2 linked regions of the Macaca mulatta genome follow. The protein of the gene in region 1 purifies or fractionates together with the protein of each later gene. This does not show direct contact. Links are inferred from orthologs where the notes say so. Each region holds a gene or a part of one and is shown on either strand. Other genes may lie near its edges.

Region 1 (3,500 bases):
AGGTTTTTAAAAAGGGACAGTATACAAAACTACAGTATGGTCGTAAAGAAAAAATAACATATTAAAAAAAAGACTGGAAAAATCTGTACTGGCATTGGTCATGGTCTTATCTCTATAATATACATATATTATCTCGCTCTTGTCCACTAGGCTGTAGGGCGATGGCACAATTGCGGTTCACTGCAGCCTCTGCCTCCTGGGTTGAAGCGATTCTCTTCTGTCAGCCCCCTGAGTAGCTGGGATTACAGGTGCCTGCCAGCATACCCGGCTAATTTTTGTATTTTTAGTAGAGATGGGGTTTCACTATGTTGGCCAGGCTGGTCTTGAATCCCTGACATCAGGTGATCCACCCGCCTCGCCTCCTAAAGTGCTGGGATTACAGGAGTGAGCCACACCACACCCAGCCAGAAAATATATTTTTTAATTCACGTATTTTGAGAAGAAAATACAGTTTGAAACCAAGAGGTTTCCTTTCATTATTCTTAAAACGTTTTCAGAAGTAAAATATGTGGTTCTGCTAAAAGCAGTTCTTTTAGTTAAATGTTAAAGGCTGCACCATCTTTGTGTTTTTTAAACGTAAATAACTTCCACTTTATTATTTGTTAAATTAGAAAAAGTCTTTAATTTTACAAAATTCCTCACACTATGGAAACAGCAAAAGCGATTTAACACCTATTGAAGTTAGAAGCTTGCTTTTATATTTCCCATCTGATGATTCCAAATGTATACATGTTATTTCTCAAAAGTTACCAGTTACAATCCTTTTCTTTGTACCTTACAACTTAAATGAACAATAATTTTAAAAAATCATAATTTGCATCTAGTTGGTACCACCAAAATGATTTGAATTTGGTGAGGAACAAACTTGTTACTGTTGTTTTTACATTCATAGAAGGGAAATCTGGAATGAGCGAGTGCATTTTAATCAATACATGAAGACTGAGTATGTAAAAATGACATAAATATAAATAAAAATTATTTTATTGCCCTAACATTGACAAAATTACCTTGTTCTAGCAATTATCAGTGGGATTTTTAAAAGAAAACACTGCTAACTTTTCAAATAGTTATTTTACATGTTAAAAGAGGACTTTGTGTTTCTATTACAGATATTTGAGATATTTGGACCTGTTGCACATCCATTTTATGTGTTACGGTTTAATTCTTCAGATCACATTGAGAGTAAAGGTATTAAAATAAAGGAGACTATGTATTTTGCTCCATCAATGAAAGATTTCACCCAATATATATTCACAGAAAAACTTAAACAGTAAGTACTTTACTGCCATGTTGTTCTTCACTTACGTAACTTATATTTCAAGAATAATTCTCAGTGATTTAGTTTCTTATAGTTATATTGTGTCTCCCTTGCAAAGAGTTCATTTATCTTCCTAACAATATCTTTGAAGCCTACAATTTATTTTCAGATTTTGTACGTAGAACTCATATCTTTTGCAAAAAATGAAATAATCAGCCATTACGAGCACATTTGAGCCTTGTACACTATCTGATTCTAGTTCAGTGTTTTTTCCATTATATACTTTCTTTAATGTACTTGCTATTTTAGTATTAGTACTAATATTACTATCATTTCTTAATAACTTTTTTTTCAGTTAAGTAAAATTCTCTTGGGATTCTATTTAGAGACCTTGCTCTTCAATAAAACTTAATTTTCAAGAGAAAAAAAATGAGTATATCTCTTTATTTTGCTTATAAATTGTAAGTTTGTAGAGAGACAACTAACACGTGTCCCTGAAGAATTGTGTAGAAAGCCATGGTGTATGGAGTTGACCTAACCAACAAACCAGTGCTCTCCATTTTCTTTACAAATAATGCTAAGTGATTTCTGTGGCATGTGACCAGCAATTTTTTTATATTTTTGCTCCCATTGGTTGAATATTTTTCAAATGTTAGCTGTTGCCAGCTGTTAGTCGTAAAGCTGTTTGTATCAGTTGAACTTGTTTTAATTATGTTATTTAATTTTTTATATCATCAGATAGCATATGAATTTAAGTAGAATAGATTTTTTTTAATAAAAATAACTTGAATGCTTTCGAATGATGTAATGAATATGAGCCGCAAAAAATATTTTCAGATTGGGAGTGGAAGAAAAGACTGCCAAAGATTGGGGGAAGGTTAAATCCAGAAAGACTTTGCACTCAGTTTGACAAAGAAGTTCCTTTTAGTTCTAGCTCTTCTTTTATTGGAAACTTAAAACCTAGGCGATAGATTTTTATAGATGCTGTTTTTGCAGGAAAACAAAGGAGCTTTGGTCACTGAGTAACTTTGATATTATGTCAAAGGTACCAGCCCCAGTTGCATGGCATAAGAAGATTACTTATGCCACTTACATATTAAATAAAGTCTCAAGTCACCAAATTTCATTTATTTCAGAGATGAAAATTTTAGTCCTGATAATTGATTTAACTCATGTTTAAGAATCTACATAAAAATCTGGAGGAATATTTTGCCTAAGTTATTCTTCAGACTGCATAAGGTTATTTTCCTAAATAACACTGACAAGAAAGATGAATTAAATAGACACAAAGCCTTCAAGATATTAATATATTCTAAAATGCTTTAAATATTTAGCATTTCATCCTGTTTTGAATATAAAGATACTGCTGTGGATATGCCACATATGCAGCTTTTTAACAAATAGAGTATTTTAGCTTAAAACAGATAAACTTGAAGAGGTTTTCTGAAGATGGTTTTTAAATAGATTTTAAATAATAGATTCAGTCTTTGGTTTTGATTTGCAGTTCTTCTATTAAGAAGTAGTAGTAAATCAATGAAGTGGGAAATTAGACCTATATTTCAGAAACCTCCCTCCCCCAGGAAAACTGTTGTATTCTAGACTGCATTTTGGCGTCTGTCATGGGAACTCGGTGGAGGACTTTGTCTTTGAGGTAGAGAAGTTCAGCTCCTTTCAAGCTTACTGTTCTCTGATGAGGTTATTTTGATCTTAGTTTCTCATGTACTTACTGTCTTGTTAAAAGTGCTTTTTGAAATGTTGCTTGATCTTTCCATTAGAGATTTTGATTTTTTGTAATAGATGCAGTAGTTGGGGAATTTTTCCCATTTATGCCTGTGATTCCAGGCTAACAGCAGTCCAGATCATGAGATGTCACGTATGCAGAAAGGAATACCAGAGCTATATTTAAGGCGCATGTGTGAAATGACAATTGAGGAAATGCTTTTTTTCTTTTAAGTGATGGAAAAGTCATTGATACTCATATATAATGTCAAAGTTCTGAATCAAAAATTTAAAGCAAACTTAACAACTTTCATGTTGTGCCAGCAAACTGACATCTGTACATTGATTTTAATGGCCTTAATTCCTGGGAATCTTATTTTTGAGATCTAGTTTAAAACAATAAGGACATCTAGTCCTAATACTTTGTAATATTTTACTTTGTGATATTTTAACATAATGGAATAACAAAATAGCACTTGAAACTATGAAATTAACAAAATTAAAAAGATTAAAAATGAGCTTT
Region 2 (3,359 bases), on another chromosome or scaffold:
TTGTGAATACTTGCAGAGATTTTTTATTCAACTACAAGTAAATACAAACCATATCTTTTTTTTTTTTTTGGGACAGGGTCTCTTGCTCTGTCACCCAAGCTGGAGACCAGTGGCGTGATCTCAGCTCACTGCAACCTCCGCCTCCCGGGTTCAAGCGATTCTCCTGCCTCAGCCTCCCGAGTAGCTGGGACTACAGGTGACCGCCAGCACGTCCCGCTAATTTTTGTATTTTTATTAGTAAAGACGGGGTTTCACCATATTGGCCAGGCTGGTCTTGAACTCCTGACCTTGTGATCCACCTGTCTCGGCCTCTCAAAGTGCTGGGATTACAGGCCTGAGCTACTGCACCCGGTCACAAACCATATTCTTTTTTTCAGACGGAGTGCCACTCTGTCACCCAGGCTGGTGTGCAGTGGCGCTATCTCAGCTCGCTGCAACCTCTGCCTCCCCGGCTCAAATGACTCTCCTGCCTCAGCCTCTGAAGTGGCTGGGACTACAGGCGCCCACCACCACACTCAGCTAATTTTTTCTGTATTTTTAGTAGAGACGGGGTTTCGCCAGATTGGCCAGGCTGGTCTCGAACTCTTGACCTTGTGATCCGCCCGCCTCAGCCTCCAAAAGTGTTGAGATTACAGGCGTGAGCCAACGCGCCCGGCCAAACCATATTCTAAAAAAAAAAAAACCTTGCAGGTTTTTCTGGTTACACAACATATATGCCAACGCTTTTGTCATTATAAATAAGGCGTAATGATGATCTTTGTAATTATATTTTGGTTCTCATTTTCATTTCTTTAAACGAATAAGGAGAACTTCTATATTCTTTAAAAAATTGTAAAATCTCCTAGAAGGTGCACTTTATTACGCTATTATTAGCTACTCACCACTATAAGAAAGAGCGCTGAATTTGCGGTAGGGACCTAAGTTTAAATCTTGGTTCGACCGCTGAAACATACTTCGTTTCATAAAATAACTTTACGCTATTTTCGCTTTACGGAATATTGATACTCAACATGCATTCTTTACCGCCAACGCTTTGAAATGGAGCAGGGAAACTGGATGTAAAAGAGGGGAGGGAAGAAAACCTCTTCCTTCTTCCCTAGGGCAAAGGGGCTCTGAATCCTGGAGCCCTTGTTTCTTCAGGCACTGGAAACTCACTGCTCCTGAAAGGGGTGTGTATCTTGAGATAAAGACAAGCTTCTATACGTCAATGTTCTATCCACATCCATCCCTACCCCCCTCTAGCGCCGTGTACCTAGCACACAGTAGGCACACTCCACGTGTTTTAGCCTGCAAAGTTGCAAGTGTGGCCCCCCAAGCCAAGCCCTGCCCTCGTGCGCCCCCTTCTGGCTAGCTGAAAATAAGGCAAAAATTGACTACATTTTCCGGCGTGCCAGGAGAGAGACTTCCGGCTATGCAGGAAGGAAATTGACGAACACGTGACGCGGTCGGGCGGACCCCTGCAGACGGAGCAGCGGAGCGAATTGGGACCTCTGGCTTACGAGCAGTCATGTTTCTCCAGTATTACCTCAACGAGGAGGGAGATCGGGTCTATACGCTGAAGGTGAGGAGAGAAAATAGGTTGTAAATAGGCATGGCGAGAAATGTAGATGGGAGGAATGGGTGAGGCCATACACGGAGTTACCTAGCTGGGTGGAGGGAACCAGAAAGTGCAGAACCGAGGTGGGGGAGAACCGGGAGCGCGCGACGAATTTTTTATTTTAAAAAAACAAAATTGGCCGGGCGCAGTGGCTCACGCCTGTAATCCTAGCACTTTGGGAGGCCGAGGCGTGTGGATTACCTTAGCTCAGGAGTTAGAGACTATTCTGGGCAACACGGTGAAACTACGTTTCTACTAAAATACAAAAATTAGCCGGGCGTGGCGGCGTGCGCCTGTTTTCCCAGCTACCTGGGAGGCTGAGACAGGAGAATCGCTTAAACCCGGGAGGCGGAGCTTGCAGTAAACCCGGATAGCGCCATTGCACTCACTTTTCTTTTTTTTCTTTTTTTTTCTTTTTTTTTTTAAGACAGGGACTCGCTTTGTTGCCTAGGCTGTAGTGCCTCGGCTCACTGCAACCTCCGCCTCCTGGGCACAAACAATCTTCCTGCCTCAGCCTCCCGAGTAGCTGGGACTACAGGCGTGCGCCACCACACCTGGCTAATTTTTGGTTTAGGGTTTTTTTGTTTGGTTGGTTGGTTTTGTTTGTTTGTTGTAGAGACGAGGTTTCGCCATATTGCCCAGGCTGGTCTCAAACTTCTGACCTCAAGCCATCCTCCTGCCTCGGCCTCCCAAAGTGCTGGGATTACAGGCGTGAGCCACCGCGCCCAGCCTTTTTAAGTTTTGTATTTCTCTATTTATTTGTACAACTTTTTGAGCTGATCATTGCATCTTCTGTTTTCATGTTTGCCCTTTTTCGCGCTGTCCCCACCCCATCACTCCTGTACTGACATACATTCTCTATTCCCGGAGCAGAAATTTGACCCGATGGGACAACAGACCTGCTCAGCCCATCCTGCTCGGTTCTCCCCAGATGACAAATACTCTCGACACCGAATCACCATCAAGAAACGCTTCAAGGTGCTCATGACCCAGCAACCGCGCCCTGTCCTCTGAAGGCCCCTTAAACTGATGTCTATTCTGCGGCCTGTTACCCCTCGGAGACTCCGTAACCAAACTCCTCAGTCTGTGAGCCCTGATGCCTTTTTGCCAGCCATACTCTGTGGCATCCAGTCTCATCCTGGTGATTGAGCATGCTTGTGTGAGGCAGTCATGGTGGCATCACCCATAAAGGGAACACGTTTGACTTTTTTTTTCGTATTTTAAGTTACTACCAGATTATTAAAGATAAAATGATTTGAAAAGCTCTTATTTTGTGTTGTTGGAGGAAAGGATTGGTAGTATTGTTTTAAAGGGAGGGAGATGATGGACGAGAGCACTCCAGAGAGTTGCAACAACACCACTTGGAAGAAAAACTTCAGTCCTGTAGCAAGAGTGGTCATGTGCTGTTAGTGGTAGGAGGGTATTGGGGAAGAAAGATTAAGACTTTCACAGCTGTCAGCATTCACTGAAAAATACCCCTGTTGTCACGTAATTTCTCATCCCTTGAAATAACATTTTGATTAAAAATGGAAGAGTACTTGAAAAAGTAATAGGTATATTATAGAGAGAAGGCAGTGAATTGAAAGAAGACCAATATTTCCTTTTTGTATAACTTTGAGAAAGTTACTTAACCTGTTTAGTCTGATTTTTCTCCTTATTAACTTATCTTTGAACTCATTGATTTAGTGGTGGGCTTTTTTTTTTTTTTTTAAGACAGTCTCACTCTGTTGTCCAGGCTGGAATGCAGTGGTGGCTGACTACA

Evidence for each region.
Region 2: the proteins of NAF1 (region 1) and NOP10 purify together in Homo sapiens (co-immunoprecipitation; 6 studies listed by BioGRID and IntAct, with this or other methods). This does not show direct contact. The link is inferred for Macaca mulatta from reciprocal best matches to the Homo sapiens genes NAF1 and NOP10.

What each region holds. Positions count from the first base shown.
Region 1 is NC_133410.1:171,742,998-171,746,497, reverse strand, and holds part of NAF1 (H/ACA ribonucleoprotein complex non-core subunit NAF1), read left to right. Parts: intron 1-1,109; coding exon 1,110-1,270; intron 1,271-3,500. UniProt on the Homo sapiens protein: RNA-binding protein required for the maturation of box H/ACA snoRNPs complex and ribosome biogenesis.
Region 2 is NC_133412.1:11,535,689-11,539,047, reverse strand, and holds NOP10 (H/ACA ribonucleoprotein complex subunit 3), read left to right. Parts: upstream 1-1,451; 5' UTR 1,452-1,507; coding exon 1,508-1,561; intron 1,562-2,470; coding exon 2,471-2,611; 3' UTR 2,612-2,859; downstream 2,860-3,359. Other genes in the region: NUTM1 (NUT family member 1), read right to left, coding at 882-963. UniProt on the Homo sapiens protein: Required for ribosome biogenesis and telomere maintenance. Part of the H/ACA small nucleolar ribonucleoprotein (H/ACA snoRNP) complex, which catalyzes pseudouridylation of rRNA.